Rattus norvegicus: one gene and its partner. The protein of the gene in region 1 interacts with the protein of each later gene in a pairwise test. Links are inferred from orthologs where the notes say so. Each region holds a gene or a part of one and is shown on either strand. Other genes may lie near its edges. The genes, in order: Tnpo2 and Camk2d.

Region 1 (9,421 bases):
ATCAAGAAATGGTTTCATGATGACTACTTTCTTGGTGATAATGCTATCTCAGATATCATGCAATAATTGTACGTGGTAATTTTTTATTTTATGACATAGTCTTGCTATGCTGTGATTTCTCCTGACCTAGACTCCCTAGTGTTGGGATGACAGGTGTGTATCACCACACCTGGCTAAAAGCAGGGTCTCTTGTATACTTTAAGCAAGTCTTGAACTTGTGGCAATCCTCCTGCCTCTGCTTCAGAGTAGTATCGCTCACCTGTGACTATGTGGAAGCACCCAAGTTAGGTGTACTCTGTTCTATAGACCAGTGAGAGAGATCTACAGAAGTTGATCCCAATAGTGAAGTTGCATTCATAGTTGGGCATACTCTTAATCCCAGCACGCAGAGGCGGAGGCAGGCAGATCTCTTGAGTTCAAGGCCAGCCTGGTCTGCACATTAAATTCTCAAAAGTCAGGGTGAAACAGGTGGGTGGGGGGATGCCCAAGGCCTAAGGTTTTATTCCCAGTACTGAGAAAATGAAACAAAAAACCTCCACCAAACAAAAATTAAGCAATTATAAAGTTAGAAAATAAGGGCTGGAGAGATGGCTCAGTGGTGAAGAGCATCTGACGCTCTTTCAGAGAACAAGTTTCATTCCTGGCACCCGTGTAGCCCTTTATGATTTCCTCTAACTTCAGCTCCTGGGTAGTTGAGTCCTCTTCTGCCCTCTGTGGGCACTTGCACATACCTTGCCCACTCAACAACACCCCTCGTACACTAAAGTAAAATAAATCAAGCGAGGGGGTGGAGTGAAGAAAGAGACAGAGATGGGGAGGGAGGGGGCACGAGATAAAAGTACAAGTGTAGAAGGTTTCAAGTTGAGAATCACTTCCTGTTTGAGTCTCATGACACCTACTTCTCTAAGTAGTCCTGCGATTTTGATTATTGAAGTGGGAGGTGGAGAGGTAGGGGTGTTTCCCTCCTTGATTATGCTGGCCTCCTGCCTTGAGTGCTAGTATTATAGGTTTGGGCTTGTGCCCAGCCAGAATTTGGACCACCTTCAGCTGCAATGTATCTGCCATGTCCCCATTTGCTCCTGCCTTTTATGGGCTCTTTGAAGAGCCTCAGTTTTTCCACCTATCATGTTGAGTTGGATATGCCCCAGCCTTCTTAAAAACCCTCCTGTCTCCTGGTAACTACAGGCTGCATGCAGGGAATGGTGCCCTATCTACCTGAGCTGATCCCACACCTCATCCAGTGCCTGTCAGACAAGAAGGCCCTAGTTCGCTCCATTGCCTGCTGGACGCTGAGCCGCTATGCCCACTGGGTAGTCAGCCAGCCACCTGACATGCACCTCAAGCCTCTGATGACGGAGCTGCTCAAACGTATCCTGGATGGCAATAAGAGGGTGCAGGAGGCAGCCTGCAGGTGAGCCCACTCCTGACCTCCGTCCTCACCCTGGGAAATGATGATGCCTATGACTGCTGACAAGACTCTGATCACTGTCGTATTCGTACTGGCTGATCCTGGATATACCTCCCTAGCTGCCCGTGTTAGCTGCTCCATCTGCTAGGCTCCATTAAACTCCCCTTCCTGTCTTCTCCCTGCCAGTGCGTTTGCTACCCTGGAGGAGGAGGCGTGCACGGAGCTGGTGCCCTACCTCAGCTACATCCTTGACACTCTCGTTTTTGCCTTTGGCAAATACCAGCATAAGAACCTGCTCATCCTCTACGATGCCATCGGCACCCTGGCTGACTCTGTGGGCCACCACCTCAATCAGCCAGTGAGAACCTGGACACACTCTGTCCTGTCCTGTGTCCCTTAACATCTGGTGTCTTGGTATTGACCTTGTTACATGCTGAGGACAGGGCCATGACAGGCAGGCTGAAGCACTTAGCCCTGTTCTTACTCTGCTTCCAGACTAGTGGGATGATCAAGCCAGCTGGGTCAGTCACCAGGTCCTCCAGGGAGGGAGCCAGGACCAAAAAGAAAAAAGACAATTAGACGACACCGTCGCACGACCCCAGCCAGTTCTGAGGTTGAGGCGGGTTTATTTTTCCCAGTCTGCTTTTACACCATTTTAAGTACATGCAAGTAATAAGGTCAGTTCTAGGTTAAGGAAGGAGCAAGGCAATAAACAAAGTCCTGTGATCGCTGCTTCTAGAGGCTCATCAGGATGGCCAAGATATCTGAGCCTCCTTCCCGGTGCTAGCCCAAAGTCATATTCTTGCCTGAAGCCCACTTCTTTGTCCTAGCCCAAAGTCAGATTCCTGTCTGCACTTACTTTCCTGTCCTGGCCCAAGGTCAAATTCCAGCCAAGTTTCTAGAGTCGGCACCAAAAGCTCTTTACAGTGGGAGGTGGACAGTTATGAGAGGCCAGGGCTGTGCTGGGAGAGCTCAAGGGTCTTTGGGTCCCAGGAGGCCCTACCCAGGTTCCTGGGAGTGAGCGGAAGGGACACGCAGATGAGAAGGATCAGGAGCACGGATCTTCCCTAAGGGATAAATAGCACTGACTGAGTAGGCTGCCCCTACCTCTCTCCAGGAATACATTCAGAAGCTGATGCCCCCACTGATCCAGAAGTGGAATGAACTCAAGGACGAAGACAAGGACCTCTTCCCCCTGCTGGAGGTGAGTGGGCTCAGGTCCTTCCTCGGAGCCCTCCCTCCTGGCCTGGGCTTACCTTTTCCCTTTTCCCTGCTAGTGCCTATCATCTGTGGCCACTGCCCTGCAGAGTGGCTTCCTGCCCTACTGTGAGCCTGTCTACCAGCGCTGTGTTACCCTGGTGCAGAAGACACTGGCCCAGGCCATGGTGAGCACCCTGGATCTCCTGACCACTTGTTCTACTGCCCAGGCCCTAGACTGCTTCCTCACCTGCCTCATTTGCATCTAGATGTACACACAGCACCCGGAACAGTATGAGGCCCCAGACAAGGACTTCATGATTGTTGCACTGGACCTGCTTAGTGGCTTGGCTGAGGGTCTGGGTGGCCATGTGGAACAGCTGGTAGCGAGAAGTAACATCATGACATTGCTCTTCCAGTGTATGCAGGTGAGTGGGTACCCAACATAAGCCACTCCCAAGTCAGGCCATACCTAAACAAGCCAACTTTTTTCTTTTTTTCTTTTTTTTTTTCCTTCTTTTTTCTTTTTTTCCGGAGCTGGGGACCGAACCCAGGGCCTTGCGCTTGCTAGGTAAGCGCTCTACCACTGAGCTAAATCCCCAACCCCCCTTTTTCTTTTTTTAAAGACAGGATTTCTCTGTATTTTCTGGCTGTCCTGGACCTTGCTATGTAATGTAGACCAGACTGGCCTCAGCAGAGATCTGCCTGTCTCTCTCCAATATGCTGGGATTAAAGGCATGAGTTACCACTGCCCAACTAACATCTAGTTTTATAAACAAATGAATAAATGTATGTTGGCTGGTTCCTAAGGAATAAAACCTGGATTTTTGCCTGCTCTTCCCCACACAGGTGTGCACTCATACTCTACCCACACATGGGTAGAACAGTAAAAAAAAATTTGTCAGACACTATAATGCAAATTGGTCTGCAAAATAAAGTACAGGCATCTGTGGGGTTTTTTGTTTGTTTGTTTGTTTTTTTTTTTTGTTTTTTTTTGTATCTGTGGTCTTAATCCCAGCACTTCCCCCCCCCCCCCCCCCCCCCGAGCTGGGGACGGAACCCAGGGCCTTGCGCTTGCTAGGCAAGTGCTCTACCACTGAGCTAAATCCCCAACCCCTAATCCCAGCACTTTAGATCTAGAGGCAGAGGCAGAGGCAGGCAGATTTCTGAGTTCCAGGCTCAACCAGGCTCTGTTGTGAGACCCTGTCTCAAAAAACAACAAAACAAAATACAGGTAATGGGAAGATGTAGGGAGATGGTCCAGTCAGTAAAGTAGTACCTGCCAGACAACAGGACCTGAACTTGATCTCCACCACCCATGTAAAAATTTGGGGTAGGTACTGAAGAGGTGACTTAGGTTAAGGGCATTTGCTGTTCTTCCAGAGAACCCGTTTGGTTCTGACCACTGCCTGCTTTAGCTTCCTAGGGGACCTGACTCCCTCTCCTAGACTCCAAGGATACCTATGAACATGTACAACTGTCTCACCCAGTGTGCACACGCATTTAAAGATGAAAATAAGTGGGTACAGCTTCACAGAGGAGTCTTTGATTCAAAGTACTGGGGAGGTAGAGGCAGGGAGGATCCCAGGGCTCTCTGGCCAGCTTGTCCAGCTGAGTTTTAGTGAGCTCAGGTTCAGAAAGAAACTATTCCTCAAAACTAAGATAGGGTGACTGAGGATGCACACGAGTGCCACAGTTAGGCCTGATGATGACTTTGATAGAGGCTTAAGTCAGAACATGGTAGTGCCTAGGTTGGCCAGGTCTGTGAAGCAAGACCCTGTCTCAGAGAAATTAAGAGTATATTTAATATAACTGTTATTTTGTGGTTTGGGGAGGGGGAATGGGGTGAGGATAAAACAGGGTTAGGGAGAAATTTAAAAGTAAATGCTTACTAGTGAACTTCACTCCCAGGTCCTGGAAAACAGGCTGTAGTGTAGTAGAAGGCCAATGGAGTAAGGGACTGTGTTTGTGGTCAGGATGTGCTCTAGGGTCTAAGCCACCTCAGATGGCTTAGATGGAAGGAGTCAAGGAGTCTGTCATTTGTGCAACCTTTCCCACCTCCAGGATTCCATGCCTGAGGTCCGGCAGAGTTCCTTTGCCCTTCTGGGAGACCTTACCAAAGCCTGCTTCATCCATGTCAAGCCCTGTATCGGTAGGCTACTTCCTTTGCCCCTATCCCATAACCCCAACGTTGGCCTCAAGTGATGGAGACATGACCCTGGGAGGCCCATGACCGAACTGTCTGTATTCGTACTGTCTGATGGGGTCTGCCCAGTCCAGTTCTGGGAGTGTGGCCTCATTGGCCTTTCTGCTCAATTTTTCTCCCTGCTCTTTTCTTTGCATTATTAGCTGAGTTCATGCCTATTCTGGGCACCAACCTGAATCCTGAGTTCATCTCTGTCTGCAACAATGCCACCTGGGCCATTGGGGAGATCTGCATGCAAATGGGTGAGTGCCCTGAAAGTGGCCTCTGCAGTGATCTGCTTCTCTGCAGCCAGAACTTTGCTTTGTTGGCTGGGGACGAACATGCTCTGATTTCCCTCACAGGTGAAGTCAAATCACTCAAGGGCCATGTATGAGGAGGGGTAGACAGTTTGTTCCTATTGGACCATCTCCTGTAATTGTTTTTCTGAAAGGTCCACTGGGATTAGTGACTTTGGCCTCCTGTCCTTAGGGAAGATTGGGTAGAGTGATCTTGTCACCTTTTGGGTAGTGGCCTCAGAGACTCATTGGGTGGTTATTCTGTGCTGGCTGTGGACTTGGTGGGGAGTATCCCGAGGGGGGGCCTTTGCTCTCTCAGGCTTTGTGGTGCACCGGCCAGTCTGAATGTAACTGGGCTCTTGGAGTGAAGTCAGCCATACCCAGCTGGCGGGTGCTCTGTGGGTGGAGTGGGCAATGCAGGGCTCTGAATGGCTGGTCTCTAGGGGCAGAGATGCAGCCCTATGTGCAGATGGTCCTCAGCAATCTGGTGGAGATCATTAACAGGCCCAACACGCCCAAGACACTGCTGGAAAACACAGGTGAGTACCAGGCAGGGCTGAGAGGGCATAGTTCCAGGAAGGGTGCTAACACCTGAATAGGACTCAGGAGGAACCCAAGGAACAACACTGGCTTTAGAATATATGGATGGGAAGAGATCCAGGCTGGGTGGGGAGGACACCTATGGGCCAAACTCAAGGGCCCAGGATAGCCACAGGATCGTTCAGTTGGGGCCTGTGGGGCGGGGCTCGGTGCCTCCTGTCAGAGGCCCCGCCACGTACCGTCCCGGGGCCACTCGGGGTTGCAGGTCGCCTGACGAGTCCCTCTGCCATTCCAGCCATCACCATCGGCCGCCTGGGCTACGTGTGCCCACAGGAGGTGGCACCCATGCTGCAGCAGTTCATCCGGCCTTGGTGTGTGCCTGCCTGGGTGGGACCTGTTGGGGGTGGGCAGGACAGCTGTATCCCCCAGCGCCACCCCCATGGATGCATGTGGGAGACCTCTACCCACTGACACCCACCCCGTCCTATACCCTCCATTCATCCTTCATCTGTGCTTGTCCAGCCCCAAGTCCATCCACTGACCTGCTGCCCTCCTCCATGGCCAGGTGCACGTCCCTTAGGAACATCCGGGACAACGAGGAGAAGGATTCTGCCTTCCGAGGCATCTGCATGATGATTGGTGTCAATCCTGGGGGTGTTGTGCAGGTCCGGGCAGTGGGGCTCAGAGGGCAGGGAGGGGGCTGGCTTGGGCGGCCCCTCACATGGGATCCATCATGTTTCAGGACTTTATTTTCTTCTGCGATGCTGTAGCCTCCTGGGTGAGCCCGAAGGATGACCTTCGGGACATGTTTTATAAGGTGAGGCTCCTGGTGGTCTCATGGGAGTCCTGGGTAATGGGCACCACAGGCTTGCCCCAGCCCACTGTAACCCTGCCTCACTGCAGATCCTCCATGGCTTCAAAGACCAAGTTGGGGAGGAGAACTGGCAACAGTTCTCAGAGCAGTTCCCACCTCTGCTCAAGGAGAGGCTGGCAGCCTTCTATGGGGTCTAGGTGAACGTGGAGACCACCAGGTGAGCAGGTCTTTCAGCCCTTGGGCCTATCGGAGAGTGAAAAGAACGAGACCCTGAACCCTCCCTTTCCCCTACAGGTTTTTGTCTGCGTCATCGTCGGAGGGTGTGCTGGGGAATGTGCTGCTTCCAGAAGTCACTGTGCCCTGGTCGAGGGGGGTTAGGGAGGAGTGAGTGGGACCTAAATCCAGGTGCAACCCAGTCTGTGCACCTGTCCATCTGTCGGTCCACTTGCCCCACCGGGCCTGATGAGTGGGCAGGTGGGTGGGGACTCCATTCTCATCCTACAAATAGGGAGGGGGGTGGGACTTCTTGGTGGGCAAGAGTTCTCTGGGCTCTAATCTGGGTCATCTCGGGCAGCTCACTTGGGCCAGCCATGTGGGAGGGAGGAATCCATAAGGCCTACCGAATCCGGTGTCAGATAAGGCAAGGGAATTACAGGTGGGGAGGGGGGTTCCTTGTAGAGAAGCATACACTCACATGTACACATGTGGACACACGCATGTGCGGGCTCCATAGCCAGCTAGGCTGGGCCAACCGCCCCACCATTTCCTCGACTGCATGGAGACAGTAGAATTAGTGAACCCCCAAATTATGCCTATGGCCTTCTGTGTACCTTGCATCTAGAGTATAAGAAGCTTCTGCTGTTTTGCCAGAATTGGTGGTAATGGGGAGGGCTGGGGGGTTTGGGGGACCTCAGCTGGGCTCCCAGGGCCAAGGGAGGAGGGTGGTCATCTGGGGGCTGCCTTCTCAGCACTGGCTCACTTTGGACCTGCTCCATACACTTCCTGCCAGCTTCATGGCAGCCTCATGTAGTGTGTCCCCATCGTTGTCACATCCTAGCCAGCAGCAGAGTGGGGACCGTCGGAGCAGCTGAGACTGGCTTGAGGCTACCCTGTACCCTTTTCCTGTGCTCCAAGGGTATTTAAAGTCATAGTCCTGGGACTAGTTTTCCTTGCGAAAGCTAAGGGCTGTTGGCTGCCAGGGCTGCTTTCCTGGATCTCTTGAAACAGCTTTAAGGATAGTCCAGTTCTCTGCTCCTGAGAACCCCATTCTCCAGAGCTGGGGCAACAGAATGTGCTTGGTGAGAACAAAGGACAGAAGTTTACTGGGTCTAGCAAGATTTGAAGGCTTGGAGGAGGAGCAGGGTGTACCCAGGGCCTCAAACTTTGTCCCTTTTGGGACTTAGGATTATCACAGTGTCACTGTCACTGGACTCAGACCACACCAAATTGGTATACTGACTCTAAAACTCTTTGAAGAAATTGGTTGGGGATGCCATCTAGGTGGGAGGGGCTTCCCGAGAGAAGAGGGGCATGATTATTTCCAAATTAGCTATGGAAATCAGTCTTGTAAGATCCCTGAAAATTTTCCTCCGTCCCCTTCTTTGCTTCCTACGTTTTTGGGAGCCCATTATATTTTGGGCTTTGACTGGAGTTCTGCATATTAGGGCCTGCCTGCTCCATCATCCCTCTAAGGACCTGGACCGTATTCCATCCAGGCCTTGTATCTTTTCTCAAGTAGGGTCAGGCCCTGCCTCTATTCCCAGGGACACTTAGTGCACATTCCATAACTCAGCTAGTGGTCCCCATTCCCTCCAGCCTGAAACTTGAGCAGGTCTCTGGAAGTCATTTGTAGGAAAAAAATTTTTTAAAGAAAAATACCATTAGCTTTCTGGTAATTCCACTTCTTAGGAGCATCCTCTGCTGGGTCTTGGGGTGTATTGATGGATTGACTGTCTGATGTAGTTGTGACCCCTCTTTGTCCAAGGGGGTTGTTCCAGCTACCTTCAGGAAAAGGGAGCCCGATTCTTGTATTTCCCTTTTTTTATTTTATTTTATTTTATTATTTTTTAAAGAAATTATTTAATTTTTTAATTTATTTTTTAGTTGGTTTTTGCACAATGAAGTTTCAGTTTCTTCACCTTCCTTGTCCAGGGCTGCGACATGGACTGACCTTGATCTGTAGCCCTCCCTGCTGCCATTACCCCGAGTCTTTTATTACCATTACCCCATGGGCTCCCAGGTCTATCCATCTGTTACTGTGCTGTGCTGGGGACTAGCGCCTAGGTGGCGTGAGATTCCACTCGTGTAGAACTTTGTTGAGTAAAGGTCAGTTTCTTGTGAAACCCTTGTTGTCTCATTTCCTAGTCCTTGGCTTTGGTAGAGTGGTGTGGAGGTGGAAGGTAGAGAATACCTCAGAGCACCTGCTTTCTCTTGGCTTCTGAGGGTGAGCACACGCAAGTGGAGATGCACAGCTGCTCCTGGTGGTCTGCCTGACTGAGGCAGGAGGATGTCAAGTTTGAAATCCACCTGGGCTGGTTGCTATGTCTCAAAAAGTGTAGATGATTTATGAAGTTAAATTGAGGCTAGTGGTAGCTAGTTTAGCTAGATATATAGGTCTCACTTTTATTCCCAGAACTTGAAAAAGTAAATCAAGTGACCAAGGAAGCTTCCTCTGTTTCTGTTTCCATCCTAGTAAGGTGGGAAGGTGAATGTGAAAGTGATTAGAAATGGTAGGTGTCCTCCTTGACAGTTAACAACCCAGGAAAGGGCTACTGTACAGTAAACTCATTTACAAAGCCTTGCTGCAGACATAACACAGTTTTAGGTCACTGGGCAAGCTTGAAGTTTTTTTGAGATCTTAAAGAACAACAGGCCAGGCTGAGTGGTGATGATGGTGATTGTTTTTAGTGCCAGCAGTGGGGATTAAAGTGAGGAGGTAGAGGTAGGTGGATTTCTGAATTAAAAAACCACCCTGGCCTACA
Region 2 (10,003 bases), on another chromosome or scaffold:
ATCTCATTAAACTGTTAACTACATTGGAACCTGGAAGTTAGGATAACCAGTGTTCCCAGGCAACAATCACTCATATTTGGCTCCAGAGTAAACTCTTGTACCCTTTTGAGGTAAGTGCTGTGTTTCCTGGAAGGTTTGTCTGAAGAAAAATCAGTGGATGACCACCACGTACGTTAGATTCTTGTCCATTCTGAGTGAGAATACTAAAGTTTTGAAACTTTTAACTCCAAGTAGCAAAATAAGAGAAGAGGAAGAAAGCGCTCAGTGCTTACACCCACTGGCCACCCCTACGCTCCTTGACTGTAAATCTTTGCTTGCCCTCTTTTGAGTCGGAGTTGAGAAGATTAGGTTACAAATGTCCCCATCACCACAGTCCGGTTTGAATAAAATCCGTCTTACCATTTTAAACAAGTTTCATGAATAATTTTTAAGAACCCCCCCTCCTTTCTTTATTACTCTTCCATTCCTCTTGGTTCACTGGAATAGTCAGGTAAAGACCCTTGATTAAAGGTTAAACCTTTAACACTAAATTCGAGCCATTCTGTTTATAAGTATGCCTTTTAAAAATTTGACTATTTCATAGCTATTCCTAGACTGATGAAATAGAATTTAAAAAAATGTAATCAATCTGATTATTATCTGAAGGAGGTCTTAAATCAAGAAATAACTGAATATTTTTAAATAAAAGAAATAGTTTATTGAGAATACAATACAGATCAAACAACAGAGCAGTGTATATTAAAAACTATTTGTTTAAAGGCATAACAATTTACGAGGTTATTGTCTACAAATACTAACTTGATAATGATACATCAAATGCAGTTACTTTTTTATTATACTCAAAATTATTCTAACCATTTACAGTTACCGTTATTTTTAAACACCTGAGGTAAATACTGTAATTATGTAGTATTGCATTGGTATTTAAAGAACACTTTTCTTCCTAGTTGTAAAAAGATTATTATGCTCATTTTTAAAAATTTTATTTTTGTTTTTGCTTTTGGACTTAAAAAAGAATATTAAATTACTCCACTATAACAGAGAGCCATATATTTAAGCTATATATTAAAAAGGTTTAGTCAAGACCAAATTATTCCTTTCAACTTTTAGCTTGGTTATTAATACTTAAACACTACTTTTTTTCTCCTTTTAACTTTTTAGTATCATCCTTTTTTCTTTGTCAGTAGATTTATACCCGGTAACCTTTGCCTTTTATGGCCAGGATTTAAGACCTGAATGCATTTCAATTTTGTGATTAAAATTGTTCAAATTTAGTCAGGCATGCCCTTAGTCACAGGCTGGGGAGGCAGAAGCAGTAGATCTCTGAGTTCGAGGCCCACCCCGGTTTACATAGTGAGTTCCACACCATTTAAGGATACAGACTGAGACCCTGTCCCAATCAAATAAAAACGTTCAAATTTAACGACATAAAAGACAATATTTGCTTTAAAAACAAAAATGAATTGAAGCTACATAAAAACCACAGAGAATTTGCAGGAGGTTCCAAGGGTCTTCCACAATGACAATTGAACAGCAGAGGTCTCCAGGTAGAAACCACATGACAACAAGCCAGTTGTGCAGGCAGATCCCCTGTGCTGGGTAACATCAAAAATCCGCACTAGGAATCTAATGCGTGGGAAGAATGTCAAACGATGTATGTAAAATTGAAGGGAAAATTATAGTCAAACAGACCAGTAAATGACATTTTCCAGGGTAAAAACAATGCAGACATTGAATGATGACTAAATACAAGAAGTATTTTCTTGTGGTGTTGAGTGGGAGAGGGCTATTAGAATTGTGAGCAATATTTGCAAAACCTCTAACAAAAAAAGCATTTAAAAATTTTATGACCATCTTGAGCACTTCAGTTCAAAGGCACTCATAGCACTCTTTAGAATTGGAAATAAAAAAACAAAACAAAACCGGGAACAGCCCTGACAGTGGGCAAGGTAATGAATTAATAGCCGCCCAGGAAAAGCAACCAAAAGCCTGTAAGAGCTCCCCTAACTGAAAGTGATCTATCATCTTCCCGCTGTGGAATTTTAAGTCCATGACGTGATCCTTCTAAGGATGAGCAAATAAGCAATAGAAGTGAAGGATTTTATGGTTTCCTGCTATAGAACAAAAAGCAACAATCTGAAGAAAAAAATTAAAAAAAAACTTCATGATGTTTCTATTTTCCATAGTCCTCTAAATCTGCAATTGCCTCGTTTATTAAAGACTGGGAACTGGAAAGAAGGCCCCGAAGTGATCTTAGCAGCCAGTTACAACTTACCTACCTTACATGCTAATTTTTTTCTCCATGCTCACTTTTAAGCAACTGTGTCACATATGTTTAATTGTAGGCCACGCTCTTGAACTCTTAAATGGTTTTTCAGATAGCCCTTGAGGGAGTACATTCCTGTGCCCCTACCTGACCAGCTCTTTGAGACTGCAAGCAAAGAACTTGTGACCTCCCTCTCCCTTTCCTTCTCCCTCTGCAAAGAGAAACAGGCTAGACACGCTCACGTGACGCTAATGACGTCAGCCCCATTCTGGGTCGCGTGACCCGCAGCCAACCTTCCTAACGCCCCACCCCCTTGCCACCAACAGTGGGACATCTCGCGAGAGCCCTTCTTACTATCAGAACTTGCTGAGGTTACAGGGGAGTTACTCTGGAGAGGAAGGAAGGTGTGGCAGCGTGGTGCACTTCTTGCTTTCATTATGTTAGGCTTTATGGCCAAGCAAATGCTTTTGGGGATCGCCCTAGTTGGGAAAACAACGGGAGAGGAGGGCGAAGAGGTGAAAGTAAAAACTGAATCGAAACGTGGTGCCCTGACCATCCTTGCTCCTAGCTAAGGGACGGCCAGGCGAAGCAGAGGTGGCCAGGGCTGGCAGCCCCCGGTAGTCACTGTGAGCCGGGAGACGTAGGGCTGGGGTCTGGGAGCAGTAAACACGAACCGCGCCCAGATGCAAGGGTTGCATCCCGCTCTCGGTTTCCCCGGCATCACGGCCATCACTGCCGGGGTAGAGACATCCCGGGTGTGGGAGCTGCGAGTTGTCCCTCATCTTTCCGTCCCTTCGTGGGTCACTGCGACATCTCTGTCCCGTCCCCTTAAGCGCGCTCCCCGGGGCTCTGCACATCTCCTCCCTCCGGTCTCCTTAGACGGCTGCGGGAGAGCAGCCCGGAGGGACGCGGCTGGAGTCGCTAGAGGGAGGTGTGGGGCTGGCGAGGAGGGGGCTTCGCTGGGCGGGGAGAGGCGGGAGGAGGCGCCGGGGAGGAGCCGCGGCTGCCAGATTCGCCTGAGCCGAGTGAGCGCACTCTGTCGCCCGCAGGTTCCCAGCCTTGCGGCCCCGTGGGGAGAGAGCGCAGGCCACCAGCGCCGCCTCCGCCCGCAGGAGCGACCCCTTGGGTGTTCACTCTTGGCCACTGCCGCCCGCCACCCCGGGCGCTACGTTGAGCTCTCCGTGCGGCCTCGGTGACCGCGGCAGCCCCTCCTGACACCTCCCCCCCGCCCCTTCGGGAGCGCTCGCCCGGCGGGAGGAGGAGGAAGAAGGATCGCGGCTCGGGCTGGTCTGGCCACCTCGCCCCGCGCGCCCCGCCCCTGCGCGCACTCCCTCGCCGGCGAGCTACTTTCGGACAAGGAAAGTGAGGGCGGCCCCGGGTGACAGCGCGGCGGTGCCAGTCCCGGGAAGCCGCGTCTGTTCGCGTGTCGCCCGTCGCACTGTCCAGACCCCGCCATGGCTTCGACCACCACCTGCACCCGGTTCACCGACGAGTATCAGCTCTTCGAGGAGCTCGGAAAGTAAGCGTCCCTGCCTGGCACCTCCTCCCCGCGACCCCTCGTCTCCCCCGTGGGGACAGGGAGCCCGCGGGCCGAGGCGGGGTGACGGACCATGGCTTGGTGCGGGTGGGGCACAGTGGGGAGAAACCTTTGCCCTAGTGTGGCGGGTGCCCCGAATCCCCAGCTCATCTCCTCGGGTCCTCCACCTCTCCACTGGAGACTTAGTGAATTTACGATCTCTGCAGTTGTAGCTGTCATCCTGAGAAGTGTGCGCGCACGCGAGTGTGAATGTGTGTGTGTGTTCGGGGAGGAAAGGAGATTGCATGTAAAATGCAACATTTATCACCTTTTCTGTAGATGTCTTTTGCTCAGCCCGCGGTGTATCTGCGGTCTGATACAGGTTAGGATGAGCTAATGAGCATTAGTTCTCAGAGATGGTGCCTTGTTTATCGATGCCGAAAGTTCAACTTGGTTTGGTGGAGAGTCTGGTTCGGCATCCAAAGTAGTTGTTCCGTCCAGGAAAAGGCCACCCAACAGAACCCACGTCCCTGCCCTGTATCCGCTATCCTTCTTTGCACTAAGGTGACTCGCTCACCATCATTCTAGGATTTACGTGTACCTCGGTTCTGAGAGGATTTATTTATCTAGGCAGAGAGAAAAGCCCTGGAGCCCGAGAGAGCGCTTCCCCAGGGTAGCCTAGCCTTTGAAAAAGGACCTCCTCCACCGAAGTGCCAGAAGTACTTTGAGATGTTAAAGAGGGACTGGGTACCTACTGAAGATCGTACAGGGACAACCAGAGACCCAGTCGGGAGTGTTGGTAACAAGCATCAAATCCCAAACCAGTCCTTCTATCGCTAATTTCCACTATCAGGGAAAGGATGCATTTGTGTGTGTGTGTGTGTGTGTGTGTGTGTGTGTGTGTGTGTGTGTGTGTTGTAGGTTTTTAGTACAGTTGCATACAAGGAAGTGTGAGCATTTTTTAAATCAAACGAAAATGATATCTTTATAGATGATCAGCTGTTGAAACATGCAGACATGTCGGGAGAGCAGCTTAATTCAAATCTCTCCCCTCCCCCAGCCCAAACCAGGCAGAGAGAAATCACCTTAGCCCAGGACCTGTTAAAGCACACCAGTGAGCTCGAGATTTATGTTTTAATGAAAACAATCGCCATATTTACTTCACTTGGAACCACGTTAATTGTGTTTTCTACCGAAATAAACATGCAGCAGTTTTTTTTTTCTTCTGTTCCCGGTCTCTGCTTTTTGCAGGGTTTGCCATGAGCATTTGGTGTTTTATGAGTGTGAATTATAAATTGTTTTCAAATTTCATGTGCAAACAAGAGTGGTTATAATTGGCATGTCCTTCTATTTTGTTGATTAATAATCTGTTTGTTTCCAGTCAATTAAAAATTACTTTTATTCCACAACATTAGAAAGGATCTGGTTCGGCAGGGAAGATTCGTTCATTTCCTAGATGATGCTTTTTTATTATATTGATACTTGACAGATCGCTAAAGACTCATCAAACTGCTCAGATTTGTGAGTTTGCAAGTGGATACTGGATCTGATTATACTGATGATTGCTAATTACTGCTTTCCAGGGGGGCATTCTCAGTGGTGAGAAGATGCATGAAAATCCCTACTGGACAAGAGTATGCTGCCAAAATTATCAACACCAAAAAGCTTTCTGCTAGGGGTGGGTATTTTAAACCGCACTTATTTATATATGTTAATTTCGTATTTGCTGTGTGAGTCGTTGGTGTCTTTCTTTAACTATAGCATGGAATTATAATTGAATTTTAGACTTAGGCATCATATTACATGCTCATCTTTGCCAAAGGCCTCGTGGTCTGTTTACTTTGTGAGTTAAGTGAAAGATATAATTGTTATCAATGAGTTATCGAAATGCAGTAATATAATAAATGTGTTGCAAAGCAAATAAATGTCATGAGGGGCCTTGCTGAGATCCTTTCAGAAGGATCTTAGGTTGAAAAAAAAAAAGGCAAGTCTCCTAACTGTCATAATTGCCTTTCACTTTTGAGACAAAAAAAAAAAAATGGGTCATGGTTCAGTTGAATGTATATCACAGGTGTAGTTACAGCTGAACGTAATACATCGAGGTATATTTAACTTCAGTGGCCTTGGGAAGTGGGGAGAGATGGTTGTTGTAATCTAGGAAGTTACCTTGGTTTTGCTATGTGTACGCTAGGCCTTTTCTTGGTCTCCTGAATTCAACTTCCCACCAGATCATGCACTCTATTGTAAACCTTCAGCTTACAGCCACACAGATACTTCATCCTGAAGGCTGTTGACATAAGTTACAACAACAACACGGAGCCCACATTATGTGCCCACATTATGATGACTGCGATTATGATTATTTTGTCTAGAATCAAACAAAATAACATATGCCGAGATTCTGGCATTGCACTGACTGAGGTGTCTACGGCATTTCCGAGGGAATTTATGGTTTGATGGAATTAAACTGGAATCAAAAGAAACAGAATACCATAGTGCAGACCCATCTCAGTGACCTGGTTTATTTTAAGTACGAGAGGAAATTCCATTAGACTTACTTTTCCTCACCGAATGTATCTTTTAAGACATGCCACCTAAGGATGCCGGGGCACCATCCCCTTCGCTCCGGTAAATGGATTTTCAAACTCTACTTTGAAGATGGACTCTAGGTTTCAGCTTATTTCTTCAGTCGGATAGAGTTCCACTGTCATTTTCTTCGTCTGATTTGCTGTTGTTCTGAGAAAGAGCTATGTATGTAAACTGACCAGGAACCCCACGATGTCGTGGCATGAAAACGAATGAGGAGCGTGTTATGCTAATTACATCTGCCTTTCGAGCCTCCACTCCATCGGAAGGTTTTGGGTTTTTTTAAGAATCGCAAGGGGAGGCAGAAGCATAAATGCCAGTTTAAGGGAAAGACTGAAAACATCGAGTCAGGTTTTTCCCAGTGATTGTTATTTCTTCCAGTGTGATAGATTGGCAATGGTGGGCTGGCAGGTTTTTTGGGGAGAGGGCAGGGGTATTACCATGCCTTTCAGGTCCTTTAATGGCTTAAGTTTCTTCTCAGAGCAAATGAATTGGATACTTCACTCTTTCTTAATGAGAGTCATCACTTTGTATCCATTTCGTCTCATGCTCTTTTTATCAGACTGGGGGCGTAGCTGTCTCTGCTCCTTCTCTTCTCCTCCATGAGAGATGACCACACTGACCTGATTGGCTTCCAGCACTTTCTTCTCCCTAAGCCTCTACAGGTCACGTCCTGTCTCACGGGACATTCTGGTTGTCTTCCTTTGCTATTTTCGGTTATTTATTTATTTATTATTATTTTTAGGTGTGTGTGTGTGTGTGTGTGTGTGTGTGTTCAGGTGCTCTTGGAGACCAGAGATTTCCCCATAGTGGTAAGCCCTCAGGTGTGGGTAGTGAGAACTGAGCTCTTCTATCCTGCAAGAGCAAGGATATCCCTGATTTGTTGAGCTATGGCTCCAGCTTCTTTCTCTGTTCTATATCCACCCCCCCACTAATATAGAATATTTCTGTCCTAGAGTGATAAGCTTTGGCTTTTAGTCCTGATTTCTGTACCTGCTAGCTAGGTGACCTTAAGCAGTGTACTCATTTTAATCTGAACCTCAATCTTTTCATCTGTAAAATGGGTTGAGGTAGAATCCTTCCTTGTGTCGGTTTGATGAATCTGTTTGGCTTCATGTAGAGTGCAGAGAAGAGCCTACTACAGAGTGTATTCATAGTGAATATCAGCTTCCATATTATATGATGGGAATGTGGTGATAATCAAATTGCACATTACTTGATGTAAAAGGTCTTACTTAATATGAAAGCATGTGCAAATTGTAGACTAGTGACAGTTCCGATGTGACCCAATTCAAATAGTGGTTCAGACCCTAGGTGCATAAAATCGATCCAATTTTATACTTTCCTAAGATCTCAGATTCTTCGTCAATCAAATGGTAAGACTTATGCCATGAGTCTCATGAGGTGTCTTGCCAGTTTTACTTACTGAAAATGTACTTACTACAACTATATGCAAAGAGTATGGTATTTCCTACAAAATGCTCAGCACCGTTAGTTTATATCAACACACAGTTAGAGATGGTTATTGTGGAATAGCTTTATTTTGTAGTGTATACATTTGTTTCAGTTGTACCCGTATTGAATTACAAATTATCTGAAGGAAAGTCTGTGCTTTCAGCTTTGATGTAACACAGGTAGACAGCACTGAGAACACTGAGGGGCTTCCAGACAGAGCGCCTGGGTAAAATGTGGTCACCTGTAAAGTAGTTACGTGCTTTGTTTCTTGCTGAGAACAAGCACATGCTGAAATTTATGAAGTATATTTAGAGACTGTATTTTAAAGTATAAATTTTGGAAGCTGGAGAGATGGGATAGCAGTTAAGAACACTTGCTGATCTTGCAGAAGACCCAGGGTTTGGTTCCCAGCGCTCACGTGGCTAAGAACTGTCTACAACTCCAGTTTCAGAAGATCTGAGGCCCTCTACTGACCTTGATGAGTATCGCATGCATGTGGTAAAACTTACATGCAAGAAAATCATATACACACATGAAATAAAAATGAGTAAATACTAAAAAATATATAATTTAAGTTTGCTTGTAATAACATTTCTTTTACAATAATCTAGTCTGAAGTTTTTTTTTTGCAGGAACATTTTAATTTTTGTATTTCTTTTAAATTTTATTTTATTTTTTACACCCCACTCACTGGCTCCCTCCTGGTCACCCCTCCCACAATCCTTACCCCATTTCCCCTCCCCTTCTCCTCTAATCAGATGGGAGCCCCTCTGGGTATCCCCCAACCCTGGTACTTGAAGTCTTGGGGAAGATAGGCGCTTCCTTTCCTACTGAGCTCAGACAAGGCAGCCCAGCTAGAAGAACATATCCCATGTACAGGCAACAGCTTTTGAGATAGCTCTCCTATAGGAACATTTTATAATGAGAAACATTCAAAGATAAATATAGAGTCCAATGCAATATAGTATGTTTAACCCCCCCCCACCCCCACCCCCCCAGTAATCTTTTGGAGCTCCGACGACACTTTTGGAGAGTGGAAAATTTTTGTGCAAACTTTTGTCTATATTATTTGACATGACACACCTTTGTAAATCCAATCCTTAAGGCTATGCATTTCAAAGACAAGGAAATTTCTACTGCTCAATTTTTTCTTTTAAATCCTCTTTGTGCTGGGAATTTAACCTGGGACCTCACACATGCTAAACACACTACCTCAAACACACTACCCTTTCACTGTCTTATCTGCCCTCAGCTAATGTTCTCTAGTTGTAACAGACAAAAAGATAAAGTGCATTTGTTAGCGAACCCTGGGCCAGGATGGGAACTGGCAAACATTTGGCTGGATTCCTGCAAAGATTTGCATCTCTCTGCTGTCACTCAGGGTGTTTGCTGCGCCTAGACTGTAACAGGCTCTCCACAGAACAGACAGCTTTGGCTGCGTTCGCTGTCACTGGTGGGCACACACACCGTATCTGGGAAACTCAGAGTCTGTTGAAGAATTTCGCTGTCTTCATCTGCGTATGCACGCAGAACATTCTCTATTTGTGTTGCTAAGCCTGTAAGTTAGTAGTTGTTAATTTTTTTTTTTTTTTTGCAAACCGTCCTAAGGGTGGCCAACGTTTGATATCGTGTATCTAATTATGAGTTCTGGAAACCTGTTTTAATTAGACATGCTTAGAAAGGAGTGAGGAGGGGCGGTGGAGTGTGTCTCGTGTGTTCATTGTAGGTATTAGTCTATCATTTCGATTCAGAAGATTAGGTTAGGCAGTATCCATCAAATGCTAACTTGTTCCAGCATCGGTCTATGTTTTGTTTATCATCTAGGCCTGGTTAGAGCAGTTAGCTCTCACTAGGTGATGTGAAGACAGCAGTAAGCTGGTGGCCCTCAGAAACAGCTCATGTGGTAGATGGTGCATTCTAAAACTTCTCAGTAGGGGTGATGACTTCTTTATGCTGTGTGTTTTCATCCTTAGAAAGCCTTTATTACTACTCTACCTGGCATGCCTAAGTTACTGTTTTTGTAGAAGAAAAATTAATTATAAGCTTGAAATAAACATGCGATATGAGTTTATTTTTACATTTACTTCATTGCTGAATTTAGCAAGCTATTATTCCTGTAACACAGTAAATCATTTTAATTTTATTATGCTGATTTTGTTTATTCCTAATTTCATAATGTT

The links.
Region 2: the proteins of Tnpo2 (region 1) and Camk2d interact in binary tests that used the Homo sapiens proteins (3 or more experiments, as listed by UniProt). The two-hybrid records come from large-scale screens. The link is inferred for Rattus norvegicus from reciprocal best matches to the Homo sapiens genes TNPO2 and CAMK2D.

Annotation. Positions count from the first base shown.
Region 1 is NC_086037.1:40,003,632-40,013,052, reverse strand, and holds the end of Tnpo2 (transportin-2), read left to right. Parts: intron 1-1,185; coding exon 1,186-1,411; intron 1,412-1,442; exon of another isoform or gene 1,443-1,512; intron 1,513-1,594; coding exon 1,595-1,766; intron 1,767-2,525; coding exon 2,526-2,612; intron 2,613-2,685; coding exon 2,686-2,793; intron 2,794-2,874; coding exon 2,875-3,033; intron 3,034-4,669; coding exon 4,670-4,757; intron 4,758-4,798; exon of another isoform or gene 4,799-4,873; intron 4,874-4,954; coding exon 4,955-5,053; intron 5,054-5,529; coding exon 5,530-5,625; intron 5,626-5,891; coding exon of another isoform or gene 5,892-5,921; coding exon 5,922-5,997; intron 5,998-6,191; coding exon 6,192-6,291; intron 6,292-6,368; coding exon 6,369-6,443; intron 6,444-6,529; coding exon 6,530-6,631; coding exon of another isoform or gene 6,632-6,637; exon of another isoform or gene 6,638-6,657; intron 6,658-6,734; coding exon 6,735-6,818; 3' UTR 6,819-8,778; downstream 8,779-9,421. UniProt on the Homo sapiens protein: Probably functions in nuclear protein import as nuclear transport receptor. Serves as receptor for nuclear localization signals (NLS) in cargo substrates.
Region 2 is NC_086020.1:217,695,053-217,705,055, forward strand, and holds the start of Camk2d (calcium/calmodulin-dependent protein kinase type II subunit delta), read left to right. Parts: upstream 1-3,498; 5' UTR 3,499-3,720; coding exon 3,721-3,785; intron 3,786-5,365; coding exon 5,366-5,460; intron 5,461-10,003. UniProt on the Homo sapiens protein: Calcium/calmodulin-dependent protein kinase involved in the regulation of Ca(2+) homeostatis and excitation-contraction coupling (ECC) in heart by targeting ion channels, transporters and accessory proteins involved in Ca(2+) influx into the myocyte, Ca(2+) release from the sarcoplasmic reticulum (SR), SR Ca(2+) uptake and Na(+) and K(+) channel transport.